Linked DNA regions of Saccharomyces cerevisiae S288C. The gene in region 2 interacts genetically with the main gene of each other region. Each region holds a gene or a part of one and is shown on either strand. Other genes may lie near its edges. The genes, in order: NCE101, SPO75 and PEX29.

Region 1 (6,497 bases), on a different chromosome or scaffold from region 2:
CTCAAAAGGTTTTGCGTAATCATTTCATAAGATAATTGAATAACTTTTTTGGCAACTTCAATACAGTTTTCCGCCATGTGAATTTGAAATTGGAACTCTGGGATATCTAACGGGTCTATAGAAATATAGTGGTAGAATGGTTTATAGAGTACGATTTTGGATAGAAGGAAGTCCAGATATAATAATTTCTTAGGTTTAGTGTATGGAGAACTAGTATCATTTGCGGAAACAGTTAGAGGTGGTTGCGTTTGACGATACCGTATTGTGTCAACCTTCAAAATATCTGGTAATTGGGCATACCAATTATCTAATTGATCGTTCAACGATACAATCTGCGTCCTAGAATCCTCTTCTAATGGTTTTCTTCTCAAAGAGTACATTAGCTTGTAGATCCGAGACATGATTAAAATAAGCTTTGTATGCTTATTATTCATTCCACAGGAACTTATCGTTCGCCAATCTTGAAACTTTATTCCAATAGTAGATATATTTTCATCGTCGACGTCTAGAGGAAACTCTTGGTCGATATCAGATTCGTCGATACCGCTTGGAAAACCAAGAATACAATTCATGTACAGATCTAGTTTGTACACAGACCAAAAGAGCCTTTTTTTTGTCTCATCCTGAATCGGAGTAGGACCAACTATGGAAGACCGCCTGTGTAAACCTTCCTTTAACGCAGCACGCAGAGCGATACCAATGAACGAATAGCAAGCCTTCAAGTTTGCTGAACATTGCAAAAAGATCGTCATCATAAATATAGCTTGAATGGAATAGATGTCAGTAATATTAGAAAAGTCCAAAGAGTTTTTGGCCTCTAAAAAGTATCTGTAGCCTTCATCAGTGTAAAATTCCCTAGTTGCTTTACTATCCTTGCTGAGATCTTCCTTAGAAAAAAGGGCTCCGACTGCTAAAACAGAATAAATTAAAGGTTGTGTTTTCACTTGTTCTGGAGTATATTGCTTGCCATGTTTTTCTGCTTCGTATATCGAGTCCAAGATAGAAATGATAGTAGGTCTGTGATAGAACCTAAATAGCACACAGGCACAATCCCAGGTCTTTTGAATAAATTTCAAGGCAATCTCTCTGGGTGGTAATGGAACACTTGTTTGCATGTGCCAAGGCGTATCTTTTGGTAGACTTTGACGTATTACCTGATTAACATTTAATTGTCCTTGAAGTAGACACGTTTTAATAGTGTCCAAAAAATTCTGGCTGTTAAAAGAAGAAGAAGCAAGTATTTGACGGAGTGTTTCAGGTGGAAAGATCGTCTCTACAACCTTTTTGTAATCAATGGAACTTATAGGGCCCTTGCTATCTTCCCGTTCGTGGGAAGCTCTCTGTGCATATAAGGAACTATCATCGCTTACTTCCCTATCAAATACCGATGAGTTCCGTGGGGGGCGATCATATTTGCATTCGTAACTATTAGTCTGGCAAAGTCTACATGGTATATTACCACTACATCGTACTTTCCTCTTTCTGCAAGCTATGCAAGCTCGATGTGCTCTTCCTTTCGTTGGCTTCAATTCGTTGGTGCCCGCATCTCTAGATAAAACCAAAATCTTAGATCTCTTGCCTTTCAACTTCTTCATTGCACACGAAATAGGCTTTCCAGATTCTTTCGGCGTCATCTATTGAATAATTCTTTGGTCTAAGTTGTATGTATTACTCTTTAAATTGAGACAATCAAGGAAATCACACATATAAAAATACTGTGGATCTGAAAGATTGGGTTTTTATAGGATAAATGCGTATAAAGGTAGATCCTAGGATTAATTATTATGGTATTTACATATCGCCAGAAACTTATATATACTCCCCTCACGCCGGATTATTATTTGCGATCGTCCCATCGCTTCTTTATGAGCTCGTGTAAATGATGACCTTGTGGACGCCCCATTTTCCTTTCGTACACATAGTAGCTGAGACAGCCTACCATAATTGCCAATAACGGATCAGAAAATCTGCAATAGAGACCAGCTTGGGAAAGAGCACATCGACTTGTTTGATGTTGCCTCTTCGAAACAGCAAATGGTTAACTATGCGTTAGTAAAAGAATAAGTGTGAAAAAAAAAAAAATAGAATAGCGTATGAAGAATGAACATACTTTCCTAATAGAAAGGGAGCGTACTGAACCATGTTATCGATGATCTTGTGTGGAATCCTCTTATAAATGGAGTGAACATTTGTATGCCCCTTGTGTGCGTGTGGCTAACAGGGAAAAATAGAGCCCGCGTAATCTTGAATAATCTAATATGTGAACAGTCTTTTATTTCCGCACTTCATACCTATATAGAGTAATATAATTAATCATTGATAGGAATTTACATAATGCAGCAATCTCGTATGCCTAGGCCGTACATTACCTTTTCAACGTCTTTCCGTACACGAACCCAATCGCTTCTCCTCTGAACAAATTCATAAATTTCCTCTTGCGTAAAAATGCCATTGAATTTCCCAAGATCAGAAATAAGCTTTCCCAACTCTTTCGAGTCCTTGCCTGAAATGATGTATAACTGGCCAATAGACTTAAGCCCAACAAAATAGGGAACAACATTTTTTTGTTTTAATTTGTTAGCAATAAAATCGTAAAAGTAATTTAAATCGCAGATTAACCAAATTGCGCCCTCCGTAGATATGAAGCACTTCTTCAGATGTTTGACGATTTCATTAAAGAATCTCTCGCCAATTTCTTGTTGGTACACGTCAATAGTACCCTTGTCTGTGGCACCAGTCAGTAGAAAGCAATGATTAGAAAGTAACTCGACTACCCTGATAGCACATTTGGTTGGCTTTATATCCCTTATTGGAGAATTCCTAGAGGGTGGCGGTGGATTATAATCGTCAGGCAATTGAAGAGTCTTGAATACAAATGAGATTTCATCCATTAGTTTGTTTATACCGATATTTAAACCTTCGGCTACAAAATCATCGATAGAAGTCTCAAAATTTTTTTTTAATTGGATAACATCATTAAGAAAATCTTTATTTTTATCGATAATTTTTTTGGGAATCAATTCGTTCTTGTAAAAAATGGAAATCATTTGTAATATTATGTCACCTATATTGATAAGTTCAGTGAATTGTACTAAAGGTTCGACTTGAGTATTGGCTGGCGAAAGTGAATTGAATTTTATTTCTATTTGTTCTATTTCGTTAGGATTATATTTTTGTAGTAGCAGGATTGCCTTTTCAAATGCAGGTTTAACGTGATTTTTATTCAATTGTGTAATTAAAATTTTGAAAATCTCTTGACAGCGTAGCTTGATCAATGGTAGCAAACTTTCAATCGTATGAAATTTGTAAATTTGATCCGTCTTTTCGCTTGTTTCCTGTAAAATTTTGTAACATAAATCGAGACTTATTAACGATTTAATGTTTTGCAAGTTATTGGAAATTAAATTTAAGTTGTAGGCTAGTTGTAGTTGTTGCTTTAGCCTTTGATTTTCATTGTTCGAGAACTTGAAAATCTTGGTGAAGGAACTTAGAAAGTCTAGTTTATCATTAGAAATATCAGTTGAATGAACTGATTGATGGATCGTACTTGGTTTTGAATCCGCTTCTGGGACAGTTTTGGAGGTTTCAGTAATTATTGAGAGGTCATTCGGCAATTCATTGTTACTTGCACTCGAAGCATCCGTTTGATCTTTTAAAGTGTTATAAATTTTTGCGTTTTGCTCACGCTGCTTGTCTTGAACTTGTGTGTCATAATTAGCTAATTGTGAGTTGATCAATGATTCAAATACTCTAGTTGTCTGATTCATATAGTTGACAACAAAGGGCTCGAGATACAGGTTTAAAAGGTCACGAACAACTTTACGGAAATTTGCGCCTGCGTTTACTGAGTCGTTTAATTCAGTATCAAACTTTTTTATAAATGTGAAATAAAGTTCGGGTACGCATTCATAATTGGCTTTACTATCCTTTCCATTTTCTTTTAAAAATTCACTATAGCTTAATAAGATATTGTTTAAAATATCTAATAAAATATCTTGGATAAAGGACTCGATGAACTGTAATATTACAGGGAACTCATCTTTGAATAAAATGTCCGCTAATTTAATCTTTTCGTTGAGGAAATCCCTTAGCTGATTGAGAAACGTATCTAAATTTTTAGAATTAAATATCACGGTACTCCCACCGCTGTCCTCTTCCCTTGGTTGTTCGGCCCAAAATAATTCATCATTAGACGGCAAAACCGTTAAACTGGGAGGCAAATCAGCCTTTGACTTGAAAAATTCGATAGCATTGCTTTCCTCATTAGATATCAATAAAATTTTCATGAAACGAGCGACGGCAGCTAAATTATTAGACTGGTAATTCAATTCTGACTCTTTGAGAACAGAATTAATGAAGATTTCCCTAAGAATGTTGAAATTAGTTTCAATCCTAGTAAATGTTTCTATATCATTTTTATTCGAGAAATTGTACTTTTTGATAAAATTTAGAATTCTTGTTTGTTTCAACGGATCGTTGGAATATGAAGTAGGAAAGAAATTTGCTAGATTATTATTATATAGCTTCCTAGCGTATGAGTTATAACAACGGTAAAATTTCACAAAGATTTTTTTAGAATTTTGAGCAGTGAAAGATTTGTATATTTCGAAGATGCGAAGGGAATTTTGATTATCATTTTCATCCAGCAACGTAATTTCTTCTTCTTCATTTGAATGCACCTGTTGGAGACCCATTCTAGTCAATTTCAATGACCAATACTTTGAATCATTTTTGCCGTTAATGATTGCATAAACCCGTTTATTCACTTGTTGAAAACTCAGATAATCTACAGTAGATAAATATGAGGCAATATTGGTTACAATCTCGGGAACTTTTAGCAGATCATCCATTTTACCGATTTCCTCAAAAGCTTTTGTTTTCTTTTGGTTTTTCTATTGTTTGTCTGTTGACCATTTTTTGATAAAATAAGAACCTTCCTTCAACGAAATATTTCGGCAAAAGTTAGCCTTGAAACACTTAAATACAGGAAGAAATAAGGTAAAGCGTAAAACTAACAGCAATAATTTGCAGTTGTATAAATGGAACCAGAAGATACCCAGCTGAAAGAGGACATTAAAACCACAGTAAATTACATAAAGCAGCATGGTGTTGAGTTTGAGAACAAACTGCTAGAAGATGAGAGATTCTCATTCATCAAGAAAGATGACCCACTCCATGAATACTACACCAAACTCATGAATGAGCCAACAGACACTGTCAGCGGTGAAGATAATGACAGAAAGAGTGAGCGAGAGATAGCAAGGCCGCCGGATTTTCTGTTCTCTCAATATGATACTGGAATATCCCGAAGAGACATGGAAGTAATCAAATTGACAGCACGCTACTATGCAAAGGATAAAAGTATTGTTGAACAGATGATTTCAAAGGATGGTGAAGCCAGATTAAACTTTATGAACAGCTCACATCCGCTACATAAGACATTCACTGATTTTGTCGCCCAGTACAAGCGAGTATATTCTTTTACTGGTCAAGAAATCAAGAAAAGTAAGAGAACCATTTTAGATAATTGTTTTGAGAGAACACAGTATTGGGAATTTGAGAAAGATAAAGACCGGGAACATGATAAGCTCGTAGAGTTGTGCAAAATACAATTTGCAGCCATTCCATGGGATAAATTTACTCAAGTGGCAAAATTTTCTATCCCTGAAGACACAGAAATCTTCGAAGGCTCTCTAGATTTAGAACAGATGAGGCTGCGAAGAGTACAAACTGGTATTAAGTTATTCGATAGTATCAAGCCGACAAATGAAGAAGAAAAGATAGTATCCGACCAAGGTAAGCAAAAAGGAGGAGATAGTAAGGGCAAAAAGCGTAAAATTAGAGCTGTGGGAGAGACAAGGTTAAAGAAAAGTAAAAAATAAGCCTCATGAAAATCAAAGTTAGCTAGAAGTATGTAAAGGTTGATGATGCACCGTAATTGAGCACATGTATCACTATTAACGGCGTACGTATTTTGGCGTTTTTTCATGTTGATGTTATTTTGTATATAGAAAGTGAAATTCTCGAGGATATGGCCCTACTGGATAATACTATTGGTAGCGTGAAAGAAGGCCAGGATGATAGATATCAACGTTAATAACATATTTTTTAGATCTTATTCAGTTGATCCTAACTCTGGTCACGCAATTTATGTCTTTGATTCGACTTATTTGCCAGCATCTGATGAAATTGGCGATAAGCAAGTTTATGACTTGCTTATTAATGCCCTCATGGATCGATTGGTAATGAAATTGCCACAGGCACCATATTCACTGGTGATTTTTTCATCTGGGTTTTCCCAGAGAAAAATAAGCTGGGTTTACGGTATTAAAATGTTTGCAAAGTTACCCAAAGAGACCAAGTTCTATTTACAAAAGATTTTTATTGTTCATGAGTCATTCTTCGTTAGGTCGGTCTATCAAGTAATTTCAAACGCTATGAACTTTAACTTCTTGGACTCAAAAGATAGTCAGCATGATTTTCCAAGTTTAGTTCAT
Region 2 (8,720 bases):
CTTAACTTTAGGAGTAGAAACAAAACTATTACTTAACTATCCAAAGCCTGGTATTGCCGCACTCCCCATAAATCTAGTAGTGTCAATTGTGAGGTTTCAGGCGTGTTTGACCGTATCTTTAACTAATGCAGAGGAGTTTGCTTCTACTTCGAACGGTAGCAGTAGTGAAAACGGTATGGAGGGCAATTCAGGATACTTTTTGATGTTTTCTTTTTCTCCTGAATATAGAATGGAATTTGAAATCAAGTCGCTAATTGGCTCACGGTCTAAACTTGAAAATATTCCCAAGATCGGCAGTGTCATTGAATACCAAATAAAAAAATGGTTCGTTGAACGATGCGTTGAACCAAGATTCCAATTTGTCAGGTTACCAAGTATGTGGCCACGTAGTAAAAATACGAGAGAAGAAAAGCCTACAGAGTTATAAATATTTATGTACAAATTTTTTGTTCTATCTTTTTCCTATCTTCTCTGCCTCATTTTTGGTGTTCCAGTTTTGGTTAGTGCAAGTGGCTATTCTCCAAGTGACAATCACCAAATAAATTCATTGAATACATATTAAGATCGAATTTCAGGTGATACGACTTCTCCAAAAATGATTGTTCTTCTTCAGAAATTCCTAGTTTGTCCCTTGGTAGCCAAATTTCATCCGAATTTCTACAAATGGAGAAAATATCATGGAAAGTATAACTTTCTTGACAGAATTGGTCCTTCCTTTCCTCTGTTAGATTCGACAAGTATTCCAAAGTTGGTATGCGTTGAGGCTTCGATTTTATTTGTTTGGAGATTTTGGAGTGCGTGATTACTGTTAGAGCAAAGACAACAAGCATTATAGTTGACAATGTGTATTGATCAAAAAGAGTGAACAGCCCGAGTAAACAAAATTCCATGAAATAAATGCCCGCGTACAATTGCATAAGGGCCTGTATGTACAATTTACCGAACGTTTCAGAATAGTTCTCTTTGTTATATTGGTATTTGAACAAGTAACTGAAAGAAAAGAAAACCATCGAAAATGAGATGCAACATAATAATAATATAATAGGAGCAACAACACTGTATATGATACCAATACAGCCCAACACTGAGAATATAGGATAAATAGATCCTAGTTGGAAAAATAAAGATGTCTTTAACCTCTTAAATTGAGCATGTGGAGTACTCCTTTTCCATTTATAGTAGAACAATTCAAAAAGTAGCTCTTTTATTCTTAACAAATTACCGCCTGCATAAGCCATTCCCCTAATCAAAACAAAAGAACAGAAAAAGTTTGCGCATTTAGGCAAGTCGTTGGCCAGGAGAGCAGGGATACTGACAGGATTGTTAAGAAGCCTCTCAATAATTATAGAAAATCCAGAAGATATTGTAACAACTACGAAAAGATGAATGAAGACAAAGACGAAATACCAATTCTGGACATCAGCTTCTATTTGCGCTCCAGTTTTCAACCCTCGAAGGTAACTCAGCCAACGGAAAAAGTAGGGTACGATTTCTATTATTATTATTAAGGTTACTATTGGAATCAAATTCTTTGCCACTTCTCTTATAAATGGAGATTGGAAATGAATTATTTTTGTAAACGGTATTAGTGAGGAAATATTTGGTATTTGTGATATTAACCCAAGGAACGCGACAGGCAAAATCCAGCCTATAATCACAAAAATTCGCAATATATTTGCCGAGAAATATTTGGCACTTTTCCAAAGGGGTGATGAATCGAGGATATTTCTCCAAATAATGTCATTAACATTGGGGCCTATTATTACTTTTAAATTTTGGGTGGGTAGTCTATACGAAAGCAACTCACCTATAACGTTTGACAATAATGTGGACTTGAAGGTAATGAACATCTTATCCATATAAATGTCTGTGCCCGACGATAAATCGTCGGGCAGTGCCTGCTTGGTTTCTGAAGTTGCTTTCAAGGAATTTACTTGGAATTTAATGAGTTTTTCCTTGCGTATTATTTTATCAAGGATTCTGTATTTCCTTTCTAATATTGTTTCTGTATTTACATACAGTTTAGGGTAATATAACGGAAAGATGCTTGACTTTTTCCAGCGCAGACGAATTTTTGTGCAATAGTATGAAATTCTAAATTGAGTTAAAAATACCAATTTTTTGTACTGAAATAATAGATGGTTTTTCAACTTTGAAAAGAAAAATCTTTTGTGATTTGCTATCAAATGCCTGTGTATTGAAACTCTTCTAAAATATTTCTCTAAAATAATCTCAAAGATAATTTGTTCTTTTGATTTTTGTAATTTATTTAACTTTATTTCTAATTTGTGGACTTTCTTCAAATTTTTTGGAATGAAATGCGTCACGCCAAAGCAATCACTGTGTAGCGGCTGAAAAAAAGTTTCTAAAGAAATACTTTGGGTAACCAATTTACTTGAGAATCCTTCCAAATATAGAATGTTTTGGTATTTACTTTTCGTCAAAACGGAATATCCTAGTCGATTAACGAACCTCAGTTCCGAAGAAAGAATGAAGTGAAACCAGAGTACAACAAAGATACTCAAAAACAAGTGACAGATTAAAGTATTCGATGAATTAGGTGATAGATTTGACATGGTCCACTTGTCAAGTTTACTTGTCGTCCTGAAACTTTGCTCATAACGTTCACCTTCATTTTCTTTCAAAATATCCCTGGAAAAATAATGGATTGGAATTAGTATTGGAATGTTGATAATTGATAACACTGCAAAAAAGAATATCAAAAGTTTGAGAAACCGTAAAAATAGATAATTGTCTAGGCCATACCTTTCGTTTCGTTCGAATTTTTCCATAGGATCTAACATTCTTCCGGGAAGTTGCTTGAGAAATGCAAATAATGACCAATAATTTTTTATTTTTTTCTTAGCAAAACAAACTTTAGAACCTGGATGGATTTTCAGAACGACATTGGCCTGATATATAGTCTTGAATCTTGATCTTAAAATAATAAAGAGTGACAGCTGAAATAAAAAGTACAAAAAAGAAAACAATATACCAGATATGAACCCTTTTAGTGAGATTCCAGCATGTCTTTGCGCAGATCCAAATCTTTCTTTGTCTTGAAATTTATTCAGTAAATTAAAAGTCAGTTCTTTAGTAGCATTCATCTTCTTGGTAAGTCTTTTTCTTGTTTTTGAAAAAGAGTTCCTGAAGTTTGTCTACTGTGAATATACTTTGCACATTTGTTTAATTTTTAAACACGCTATAATTTGTGTCATAAAGAATTTTTTGTAGAATAGCTTTTTTTTTAATAGGAAAAAAAAATAAAAAAAGGTGGAAAAGACAATCTTTTCCAGAAACTTGAAACTATACTGGAGATGAAGGGTTGTCGTTGGTTGCGTTACGAGACAGGCTTGACAATTTCACAAGAGTAATGTTTCATTACCTGCTGTTTTATTATCTTTATATTTAGTAAGACCAGCAGAAACGCTACACGTGATGATAATGGAACTAAGCATTCTGTTAGATGGTAAGAATTTTTTTTACCTTCCATTACCACTAACGCCTTTTTTAGTGTCTTTTTGATATTTACTGACGTATTTTTCCGCACCGTAATTTGAAGAAAAAGAAAAGTGACAAAAGATGGCATTGTTTACATACAGAGTCGTAGTATCACAAGAGTAGTCCAACAGGATGAGCGACCTTAACCAATCCAAAAAGATGAACGTCAGCGAGTTTGCTGACGCCCAAAGGAGCCACTATACAGTATACCCCAGTTTGCCTCAAAGTAACAAAAATGATAAACACATTCCCTTTGTCAAACTTCTATCAGGCAAAGAATCGGAAGTGAACGTGGAAAAAAGATGGGAATTGTATCATCAGTTACATTCCCACTTTCATGATCAAGTAGATCATATTATCGATAATATTGAAGCAGACTTGAAAGCAGAGATTTCAGACCTTTTATATAGTGAAACTACTCAGAAAAGGCGATGCTTTAACACTATTTTCCTATTAGGTTCAGATAGTACGACAAAAATTGAACTTAAAGACGAATCTTCTCGCTACAACGTTTTGATTGAATTGACTCCGAAAGAATCTCCGAATGTAAGAATGATGCTTCGTAGGTCTATGTACAAACTTTACAGCGCAGCTGATGCAGAAGAACATCCAACTATCAAGTATGAAGACATTAACGATGAAGATGGCGATTTTACCGAGCAAAACAATGATGTATCATACGATCTGTCACTTGTGGAAAACTTCAAAAGGCTTTTTGGAAAAGACTTAGCAATGGTATTTAATTTTAAAGATGTAGATTCTATTAACTTCAACACATTGGATAACTTCATAATTCTATTGAAAAGTGCCTTCAAGTATGACCATGTTAAAATAAGTTTAATCTTTAATATTAATACAAACTTGTCAAATATTGAGAAAAATTTGAGACAATCAACCATACGACTTCTGAAGAGAAATTATCATAAACTAGACGTGTCGAGTAATAAAGGATTTAAGTACGGAAACCAAATCTTTCAAAGCTTTTTGGATACGGTTGATGGCAAACTAAATCTTTCAGATCGTTTTGTGGAATTCATTCTCAGCAAGATGGCAAATAATACTAATCACAACTTACAATTATTGACGAAGATGCTGGATTATTCGTTGATGTCGTACTTTTTCCAGAATGCCTTTTCAGTATTCATTGACCCTGTAAATGTTGATTTTTTGAACGACGACTACTTAAAAATACTGAGCAGATGTCCTACATTCATGTTCTTTGTCGAAGGTCTTATAAAGCAGCATGCTCCTGCTGACGAAATTCTTTCATTATTGACAAACAAAAACAGAGGCCTAGAAGAGTTTTTTGTTGAGTTTTTGGTAAGAGAGAACCCGATTAACGGGCATGCTAAGTTTGTTGCTCGATTCCTCGAAGAAGAATTGAATATAACCAATTTTAATCTGATAGAATTATATCATAATTTGCTTATTGGCAAACTAGACTCCTATCTAGATCGTTGGTCAGCATGTAAAGAGTATAAGGATCGGCTTCATTTTGAACCCATTGATACAATTTTTCAAGAGCTATTTACTTTGGACAACAGAAGTGGATTACTTACCCAGTCGATTTTCCCTTCTTACAAGTCAAATATCGAAGATAACTTACTAAGTTGGGAGCAGGTGCTGCCTTCGCTTGATAAAGAAAATTATGATACTCTTTCTGGAGATTTGGATAAAATAATGGCTCCGGTACTGGGTCAGCTATTCAAGCTTTATCGTGAGGCGAATATGACTATCAACATTTACGATTTCTACATTGCGTTCAGAGAAACATTACCAAAAGAGGAAATATTAAATTTCATAAGAAAAGATCCCTCCAACACCAAACTCTTAGAACTAGCAGAAACACCGGACGCATTTGACAAAGTAGCACTAATTTTATTCATGCAAGCAATCTTCGCCTTTGAAAACATGGGTCTCATTAAGTTTCAAAGCACCAAGAGTTACGATCTGGTAGAAAAATGTGTCTGGAGAGGAATTTAGATAAAGAATGCACGGATAAATAAGTAAATAAATAACCATACATATATAGAACCATAGAACCACGTTTTTGTAATGAACAGTCTACCTGTATCTCATCATTTTTCTGTGTTAACTATTATTATTATTATTATCGAATGGAGGGTAATATTATGTATAGGTAAAATAAATAGATAGTGCCATGATGCGCGAAGATTGGCAATGGGAAACTCAAGAAGGCAGCAACAAAAAAATAAAGGTGGCCTATTAATCACAATCTATTGCCTATATGTGCTAGGTTATGGGCAAATTCGGCACGACAAATAAATCAACGGAGAATCTTCTGCGTGATAAATTCGTACCCGAGACATCTCCAACTAATATTCCCACTGATGTACTCATCAAGCAAGGGCAAATAACGGATTCCACCGAATCACTAATTCATGGAGGCGCAGAAAGGTATATTGTTAACGCTTTAAAGCCTATAGAATTAAATAAAACTGAAGGCTTTTTCGAAGACCCGCCGTTCCATCTTCCTTCTCCACCGGTTGATTCGACAAATCTGGAGTATGAAGACGTTACCGATCTTCCTAAGAATGGTTTACGATATGATTTGAATGATATATCCGTTGAGGTAATCGAAGATTTATACCGCCAGATTGAAGCTTTTTTGGTTCATTTCAAACTATCCAGAAGTTTTTTACAAATTTTCAAAAACTATGTCAATATTCTTATTCAAGAAGGCATCAATCCTTTACGCGATGAGTACTTCACAATATTGGAAGATGAACTGAAAGGTTTTTTCACTTTCAATTCTGTTATAGAAGAGATTTTAGAAATATTTTTAATCCACCCTCGCAACAAATTCATTGCATTGTCCCTTGCAGAATATACCTACGCTAAGAACAAAATCAGAAGACATTTTAATCACTGGAAGACTGTATGTGAATTGAATGAAGAGGCAAACAGGTTTGCAAATCAAGCAAAGCTGAGGGTACAGGAAGCCGTCTTCTATATTTGGAGTGATAAAACATTAAAATACTCACAGATGGCCAACGATGAAGCTGAAAGTTTTAGGAATACTTGGCTACTATTTCGCTCGTTCCAACAATGGATAACTTTAACACAAACTCTTAAGGAGCAGTCAAGGTTAGCAGATCAGGCCTTTTTGAATAAGATGTTTAGGAAAATTTTAAAGGCACAAGAGCATTGGAAACACTTAGAAACTGTTAACACTGACAACATTAAGAAGATATTTTTACGAACAACATTTCATATATGGAAGCTAAGACATAAAGAAATAAACTACCACGGGTTGGAAAGAAGGATTTTCGAAAGAATAAAACAGAAAGTTATAAACTATGAATACAATAAGAGCATTGCAGAAAAAGTGAGGTCGTTTTCTCTACAAAGAAAATATCTGAATAAATGGGAAAAGAAAAACATTGAAAACGAAGATAAACTTGGGGCACTTTATGAACTGGAGAATAAATTCATCAAACAAAAGTTTTTTCGCAAATTAAACCGGTCATTTCAACATAGTCAACAAGAGGCAATTGCAAAGAGTAAACTAAATCAGACACTTTTGAGGTGCGTTTTTGAGAAGATGTGGCTGAAAAGATTCGAAGACCATCTGCATTTGTATTCAATTGTAAGTCTAAAAGAGGCTAACCTCGTGAAGCGTATTTTTCATTCATGGAAAAAACTTCTATATATTGACCTCAAAGCAAGCGATTATTCGAGGACTAATTTGCTCAAGTCATCATTGCGAAGTTGGAAACTTGAAGTAAAGTTAAAAATATTTGAGCAGAAATGTAAAAAGAGTATTCAAGCAAGCGCGTATCGTACATGGAGGAAAAGAATACAGTATGGGAAAATATCGAGCGAACATGTTAAAACGGCATTTTGTGCAAAATATCTTGGTGTGTGGAAAAGGAGGATGCTACAAATGAATTCTATGAATGACGAAGCATCCAAATTTTACGAAGAGGGTCTCGTAAATGAGTGTCTAGCTATATGGAAAGAACGCCTGATTAAAACTAAGGAATTGGAGGATAGATACAATTTCTTATGTAAGACACATGCAATTTTGACTGTAAAACGGACGCTAATGCATATTGATAATGTTCATTTGCTATATACGAAACTGGCGCCCTCTATGGATAGAGTAAAGCTTTCTAAGGCCTTTTTAAAGTGGCGGAAAGCCACAAGGTTCAAAGTCAGGCATAAGTTAAACGATATTTTACACGTTTATGAAAAGAGTAAAGAGCGCGAACTTCAAAGCCAACTGTTCAACGCTTGGCGAAATAGATTTTGCTTCTACACAGAAGAATGTAACATTCAGGCTATTTCAAAGAGAAACTACCAGCTTGAAAAAATGGTGCTGAAGAAATTTAGAGAAAGACTTTTAGAGATAGTAAAATCAGAAGAATTAGCAGACGAAGTTCGCGAAGAATTTGTGTTAGTCAAGACGTTTTATATTTGGAAAACTCATCTAGACGAAATATTTTATATGAGTACATTATTGGAACAATCGGAAGCTAATAAACAATTCATAATTACATCCAAATTCTTGAAAATGTGGAGTCTTCGATTCCTAAAAATTAAGCGTAATGATGAGACAGTCGAGGTGTTTCGTCATCGGTGGGACAGGGCCACTGTAAGGGGATTGTTATTATTATGGAAAAATCGTTCAGACAGTTCTCCAAAGAGAAGGAAGGACTTCAATCTTAAACATGAACTAAAAACTCCCATAAGATCAGACTCTCAAAACGCCTCAACCATACCAGGCTCAGAAAGAATAAAGCAGCACAGAATGGAAGCGATGAAGTCGCATTATAGCAGGGCAAGAAGAGCCATACCAAGTCCGGTGAAATCTTCCAGTGTTCTTGATTCTACAGCTAAAAAACAGATCAACCTTGAAAGTACGACAGGCTTAAACGGATCTCCGACGCGAGGAAAACCTCTAAGGTATTCTCCTAGGCGTACCACTAGAAACATGCCATCCAAAGTTGACCATATTGATTTTGGCAGAATACCCGCTGTACCTTTTAGCCTAAGCGCCAATTCTCCTAAAATCGATCAAGATATGGATTATATAAGAGAGCATGATAAATCCCCGTTAAGTCGTAAACGTCAATAGATATATATATTATGTACGTATGTATGTGTGCATATGTAGTCGTAACCTTTCTTGCTTCTGAGATGCATACAATTACTAATAATATTCTCCAGGTCTATGAAAACATCACAACATACTA
Region 3 (7,428 bases), on a different chromosome or scaffold from region 2:
GTTTGACCAGAAATGGCACAGATTGTATGTTTTACCATTATCGTTCGAAAGAAAACTCATCAGGTTGTTTTCATCTAAGTATTCGGGGTTCTTTTTGATGAAATCCATGGACGTTTGCCATAGTGTTGGGATCGTCACTTCATATTCATGAATAGAAACGGTAAAGCCGTAAACTTTTTCGTTTTCTTGCATCCACTTAAAAACGTCGTAATTAATATCACAGTATAACTTGATGTCTGGTTCCACACGCCAGTACCAATCGTACTCTTCTAATAATTCATGTCTCCAGAAAAACCCAGATTGGTAACGACACATGTGTCTATAAGATTCGGAGCCACCGTATATGTATTTGGTGGCAGCATCTGCACGAATTTCAGCAGCCTTGGTTTGATTAATCCATTCAGGATATGACCAATGTTCCTTGGGCAAAATACCAAACTTAACTTCGGAAGAAACAGCTTTGGTGACTGCTTCCTTGAATTCTTCAGTAAAAGGTTCATCGTTTAGGAAAACCCAAGGATATGGGAATTTCTTGTTAATTTTGTTTTCCACATATTTAATGGAGCTTAGCAAACCTTTCAACTCCTTGTTTCTCACCAAAGTGACGTAACAAGCTTTTGGCTTACCAGCTTTGTTAGCAAAAGATGGAGTGATATAATCCATGGTTGTTTTAGTGTCGATCGGGGCATCTGCCTTTTCAGCGGCAGCTTTCAGAGCCTTGGATTCTTCATCCATGGCTTCGGAGTCTTCGCTTGCCTCTGAATTCAGAGCACTTTGCTCTAATTTTTTAGCATCATTTTCCTCAGAGATGACTTGTTGTTCAGGGGATATAGATCCTGAGGTAAAATCAAATGCAGCGGAGATGGAACTCGGAATATATTGCTGAGTTCTACTGTTGGAATTCAATGTTAGGAGGAGAACAATAACCGCACCTGCAATGACGGTAAATCTCAACAGTCTCTTACTGAGAAAGAGGGCCATGCTTTCGAGTGGAACTGCTTGCGAATATGGATATCACTTCCAGTATTATAGATTCATAAAATGTATAAACGAATTAAATCGCAAATTATCTCCTTTTCAGACTGTTTCTTCACCAAATTTCTTTTTTTTTTCCTACTAGAAGAAGGCGTAGCAGATAAGAAGGAAAAATTATATTAAGCGTGCGGGTAAAGGCAAGGAAGAATCAAGTAAGACCTCAAGAATGGCACTATAAGTGTGGTATTATAATCTGTGTAATCCTAATTTGAGCTCTACACAATACCATTCGACGGTTAACAGCTACTGCATCACCGTCCAGTCATGTCGTACAACGGAATAGGGCTCAAGTCGGCAAAAGGGTCATCTACGTCGGGCCACGTGCAGCGATCACTTGCTAGCAACAATAGGCGCAGACCACAGGGTAGTCAACAGCAGCGGCAACAACGACAAAATGCGATCAAAAAGGCCAGCCATGACAAGGCAAGCAGGCCTCTTGCTGTGCAGAAACAGATAGAGACTCATATGGAGAAACGTGAGATTGAAGTACAAGTTAGCGAGCTACGGGACCGACTGGAGGAGGAAGAAACGCTCTCGGAAGAGCAGATTGACAAGAAATGTGAAGCGTTGAGGGCAAAACTGACGAACGAGTGGCAAGAACAGCAGCGGATGTCCTCTTTGTACACCCCTCGTAAGGCGCGTCTAACGGAAGAGCAGCATCGACATGAATAGCAGCATTGACGATAGCGATAAGCTTCGCGCGTAGAGGAAAAGTAAAGGGATTTTAGTATATAAAGAAAGAAGTGTATCTAAACGTTTATATTTTTTCGTGCTCCACATTTTGCCAGCAAGTGGCTACATAAACATTTACATATCAGCATACGGGACATTATTTGAACGCGCATTAGCAGCATGATGACTCACACATTACCAAGCGAACAGACACGTCTTGTTCCTGGATCTGACTCGAGCTCTCGTCCTAAAAAGAGACGGATCTCGAAGAGATCAAAGATAATAGTATCCACTGTGGTCTGTATTGGTTTGTTGCTGGTTTTAGTGCAACTGGCATTTCCAAGCAGTTTTGCATTACGTTCTGCATCACACAAGAAGAAGAATGTCATATTCTTCGTGACGGATGGGATGGGACCTGCGTCTTTGTCCATGGCAAGATCATTCAACCAGCATGTTAATGATTTACCTATAGACGACATCCTGACACTTGACGAGCATTTTATCGGGTCTTCGAGAACAAGGTCCTCGGACTCACTAGTCACTGACTCAGCTGCGGGCGCCACCGCATTTGCATGTGCATTAAAGAGCTATAATGGGGCCATCGGTGTTGATCCGCATCACAGACCTTGTGGTACAGTGCTCGAGGCGGCTAAGTTAGCAGGTTATCTCACTGGGCTTGTTGTTACGACAAGAATCACAGATGCCACTCCGGCTTCATTCAGTTCACATGTTGATTACAGATGGCAGGAAGATCTTATCGCTACGCACCAGTTAGGCGAATATCCTCTGGGGAGAGTAGTAGACTTACTCATGGGTGGCGGCAGGAGCCATTTCTACCCTCAAGGCGAAAAGGCTTCTCCATATGGTCACCACGGTGCTAGAAAAGATGGAAGAGATTTAATCGATGAGGCTCAATCTAATGGCTGGCAGTACGTGGGTGACCGTAAAAATTTTGATTCTTTGTTGAAAAGCCACGGTGAAAACGTTACTTTACCTTTCTTGGGTCTCTTTGCAGATAACGACATTCCTTTTGAAATTGACAGAGATGAAAAGGAGTATCCTTCCCTTAAGGAACAAGTCAAGGTGGCTTTGGGTGCCTTGGAAAAAGCTTCCAATGAGGACAAAGATTCTAATGGGTTTTTCTTAATGGTGGAAGGCTCCAGAATTGATCATGCTGGTCACCAAAACGATCCAGCTTCGCAGGTAAGGGAGGTGTTGGCTTTCGATGAAGCATTCCAATACGTTTTGGAGTTTGCTGAAAATTCCGATACGGAGACTGTTTTGGTCTCTACGTCGGATCATGAAACGGGTGGTTTAGTCACTTCAAGACAAGTCACTGCTAGCTATCCTCAGTATGTCTGGTATCCACAGGTGCTCGCCAACGCCACCCATTCAGGTGAGTTTTTGAAAAGAAAACTAGTAGATTTTGTTCATGAGCATAAGGGCGCAAGCAGCAAAATAGAAAATTTCATCAAACATGAGATCCTGGAAAAAGATTTGGGTATTTACGATTACACGGATAGCGATTTAGAAACATTAATTCATTTGGATGACAACGCAAATGCTATCCAAGACAAACTGAATGACATGGTATCATTTAGGGCCCAAATTGGCTGGACCACGCATGGTCACAGCGCAGTCGACGTCAACATATATGCATACGCCAATAAGAAAGCTACATGGTCATATGTCTTGAACAATTTACAAGGCAATCACGAAAATACGGAAGTTGGCCAGTTCTTAGAAAACTTTTTAGAATTGAACCTGAACGAAGTCACTGATTTGATTAGGGACACCAAACACACATCAGATTTTGATGCTACAGAAATAGCTAGTGAAGTACAACATTATGACGAATACTACCATGAGTTGACCAACTGATCCTATCTAACTCTCCCTCTTTTTTCACATATTATTTAATACGTTATAATTTATTTGAATATATATATATATATATATATGTATATATACTAACCGCATGACACGTACTGTATCGCATTTCGTTTCGGAGTGCAGGCGAGTTTTAGGTGCATTCTATAGCGTGAAGAAGTGAAATCTCGTCATTTCTTCAAGTTATGCCATTCAGTCCAGATTGTTTCACATGCTTTCATATAGTCATTTTTGTCGTCGCGAACTTCAAATTTGAAAACATCATCATACAGAGAGATTTCTCCAATAATGATCCTTTCTTTGTCGTTGTCATCATCGGCATCGTCGTTAAGTGAAGCGCCCTCACTTAATGAATTTTTCGTGACAGAGCATTCAATGTCTTCATCAGTCTTACTTATGATTGGGTCTCCGTTGTGGTGTTTGGAGACAAAGGTTCTTTTTCTCGATGTCAAATCTTCCAAGTGTGGTGATCTACCAGCCAACTTCTTCCTCTTTGCATGGTAGTCGGCTGGTATTATACCATTATTATACAAGGGGCCGGGATACATCGGGGAATAATAGCCTTCGTATGCGTGCGTTTGTGTTGGAGTTGAAGAATATGGGTAGCATGGTACTGGTGGCAGTCCAGTATATGGATAAGGGTAGGTTGCTGTCATATATGAATTGGCCACTGAAGGATGATAATCTTGATTCGTAGGAGCCATCCTACCCATATATCTGACCCTAAGGCTATTTTTGTGCTGCGGAAATCTTGTTATGTTTGGTGGAGCACTTTTAGATCCATGCAAATGAGAAGATGCTTGTATATCGGAAAAATTTAGCGCTGGAGGTACCCTTTTCCTCTTTAAAGAATGATTCAGCGACTTAAAGGGTACGGTTTTCTCTGCTGGAGAAGTCGTAATGGTAGGAGGCTTACCACTATGATCTTCCTCTTTTTGCGACAGCCTAGATATGAGCAATTTTTGATTTTTTTCGATATCCCTGGATTTTTTGATCTTCGAAATCATTTTCTCACTCAATCTGTCTTCATCAAGCCCTGGAGATACTAACAGCATTCCCAGTTGCTGCAAATTCCTGGGATCATTTTCCTGAACAGTTGATATTTGCTCTTGCTGTGGGTCTTCTTGCTCTTCTTTATTCATAATTTTCCCTCTTTGCTTAAATATTCCTGCAGGCTTAACTATACCACATAAATACCACTGCAAGCAATAGAAATGAAAAATAACATTAATAACCAAAATTTAAATGGCTGTATGTTTATTGTTTATTTGATCTGCACATTATGTAATTATTGATAATTTAATAGACGTGTCCGCCGGGTGATGAAGCTGTGACATATCACAATTTTATGTGTACCTGTTGTATGTATACGCTCTAATGTCCGATATCATCATACGTGCATCACTTTGTAGCCTTCTAGGATGGCGTCTAGGTGAATACCGCCGTAGTGTTTAGGAAACTAATGTTATGGGTGGTTGTTGTTTCACTATCCAGTAATACTTTTGTGGTGAACTTAAGAAGCTTAGGGGTTACCCCTTCTTCTTGAACTAATTTTAAGAAATAACAACGAGGAATAGTGTGTATTTTTAATTACTGATCAGGCCGCATGAATATACTCACCTGTATACGTAGCAAAATTTCAGTCTCCTACTGTATATACGTCTAGATGGACTCGGTGACAAATTTTTTCTGGAATGACACCTATAATGCTGGTACTCCAACTAGATCAACTCTCAAGGGGAAGAAAGTGCAAAATGGCATAGATGGAAAAAGTCAGGCAAAGAAAGAGAGCATATCTAGTGGTTCTAGAACTAGTGATCCTACACGTGGTAGTCTGCCATCTTCCAGTGGACAGCCAACTAGTGGTGGCGGTTTTCCCTCGACATCAAACATCCAAAAGATGATGGCAGATACCCTGGTAGAGAAGATAATCAAAATGGCATTACCACCATCTTCCAAAACGGCTGTTGATACAATTCACCATCGTATGGTTGCTGGTAAAGAAAGGCCTAAGCTGTCTGTGCAGATCACGAGTAGGAATTTTATACAGATGAACTCGAGACTAGGGGTACCATTCATGATTATGGATGAATTAATAAAGATATTAAACTGGACTAACCCAGCGTATACAGTATCTATCATGTTCTTATACACGCTCATTATATTGAAACCTTTTCAAATGCTTTCTTCGCTCCCTATATTCTATTTGTTATTCTGCGTAATGGTCCCGCAATACCTTTACATTCATAAGCCAAACCCTACAAGCTATCTAGATAATAATCAAACACCAGCACAAGGCCCACCTTTGCGAAGACCTGAGGTTCCTAAACCAGTCCCTGAACTGAGCCAAGAATTTGTCTTAAACCTCACGGATTTACAAAACCATATGCTGCTATATGTTAAATTCTACGATTTTACTTTACTCATATTACAAAAGTTTGCATTCTTCACCAACGAGGCTATTTCGTCGTTTTATTTTATTGTATTGTTAATAATAGCAACATTAAATTTTCTGTACATGGATAAATTTATCAAGCTCATTCCAATGAGACCCGTACTGATACTGCTAGGTTGGGGTTTTTTTATTGCCTCGCATCCGTCCAATCGTGAATATTTGTTGACTAAATTGAATTCGGAGGAGACAAGATTAAAAACTTTGACTATAAGTACTAATCTGGAATCTAAGATTTTGCAGCATTTGAAACTCATTGAGGCTAGGGAGCACCGACTTGTTATGATCTTTGAGATCCAAAAGTATCTTCCTGAATACAAAGAATGGCGCCCAGTTGGATTCTCTGATGACGATTATTCTCTTTTCTCTAGTTTGAGAATATACCAGAGGCGTATTGAGGAAAATTCAGTGAAGTCATTAGAAGAAATTGAGCCACCTAAGGATTGGGAATGGGAAGCCAATTCTCATTGGGTGCTTGATTTGGATCCAAAAGAATGGGTAGAGGACGAATTTATTCAGTATGTCGAGATAGATTCAGAAACAAAATGGGTCTATGACCTCAATCTTGATGGACAAAGGGGCTCATATAGAAGGCGAATGTGGACCAACAGTTGCGTGCGGAAAAAACTGGATTCTGGTATTTCTTCAAACCTTGGTGAGGAGGAAGTAGTTAATCCATTGAGGGAAGAAACATATAGGCAAGGCGTACATGGCGTGACGAAGGGTTCAATGAGTGGCGGTCTAACTCACAGTAGTGATGATGACCGCGCTGATGAGGAAAGTATAAACGGTACTATTCCTAATCTCAACAATATCGACGCGGATGCATCTTATCCGTCAATCGAAGAGCTAACAGACACTCTCAATTCAACTATATAAACTTGATTTGTTATACTATATGTTCACTGATGATACAGTCAACTTTTCATAAAACTTTCTAATGACAGTGACGAACTTTTCTTCTTTTCCATTTTTTTCTCTTGATTTCTTTTCGATAAAAGGTTTGTAAGTGAGTTCAACTTTCTCTTCTTGGATCTCTCCTTACCAGTACTAGTTTTACTCTTTTGGGGCTTCTTTACCGCGTACGAAACCTTCCCGCTGCTGGTACTATTGATCATCGGACTAACATCTTGTCCAAATGTTGGAACAACGAACTCAGATTTCCACTCAAACAATTTAGACTTTTCACAATTCAAGCAATTAACCTGGATACATTTTTTTGGTCCTTCCATACTCTCGCCGCCAAGTTCGTCGGAGTCACCTTGCTCGGTATTAGTCGTTAACTGAAGACTTGCGTTAAAATTAGGAACGTAAACACACCCGCAATGGGAGCAAAATTTCCCACTTTTCAGTTGTTCTGGCAGCATGATTTGATATCG

Evidence for each region.
Region 1: mutations in SPO75 (region 2) and NCE101 together harm fitness more than expected from each alone (negative genetic interaction), as found in Saccharomyces cerevisiae (2 studies listed by BioGRID).
Region 3: mutations in SPO75 (region 2) and PEX29 together harm fitness more than expected from each alone (negative genetic interaction), as found in Saccharomyces cerevisiae (2 studies listed by BioGRID).

The regions. Positions count from the first base shown.
Region 1 is NC_001142.9:48,302-54,798, forward strand, and holds NCE101 (Nce101p), read right to left. Parts: upstream 2,143-6,497; coding exon 2,111-2,142; intron 1,968-2,110; coding exon 1,838-1,967; downstream 1-1,837. Other genes in the region: YJL206C (uncharacterized protein), read right to left, coding at 1-1,634; RCY1 (Rcy1p), read right to left, coding at 2,328-4,850; PRP21 (Prp21p), read left to right, coding at 5,040-5,882; ECM25 (Ecm25p), read left to right, coding at 6,078-6,497. UniProt on the Saccharomyces cerevisiae protein: Involved in a novel pathway of export of proteins that lack a cleavable signal sequence. May be part of the export machinery or may also be a substrate for non-classical export.
Region 2 is NC_001144.5:137,440-146,159, forward strand, and holds SPO75 (Spo75p), read right to left. Parts: upstream 3,108-8,720; coding exon 501-3,107; downstream 1-500. Other genes in the region: ERMES complex subunit MMM1, read left to right, coding at 1-427; ORC3 (origin recognition complex subunit 3), read left to right, coding at 3,634-5,484; SFI1 (Sfi1p), read left to right, coding at 5,762-8,602. UniProt on the Saccharomyces cerevisiae protein: Acts as an osmosensitive calcium-permeable cation channel. Required for spore wall assembly and ascus formation.
Region 3 is NC_001136.10:1,414,710-1,422,137, reverse strand, and holds PEX29 (Pex29p), read left to right. Parts: upstream 1-5,263; coding exon 5,264-6,928; downstream 6,929-7,428. Other genes in the region: alpha-1,2-mannosyltransferase KRE2, read right to left, coding at 1-981; U2-type spliceosomal complex subunit CWC21, read left to right, coding at 1,300-1,707; alkaline phosphatase PHO8, read left to right, coding at 1,888-3,588; DIG2 (Dig2p), read right to left, coding at 3,768-4,739; SNM1 (Snm1p), read right to left, coding at 6,967-7,428. UniProt on the Saccharomyces cerevisiae protein: Involved in the regulation of peroxisome number, size and distribution.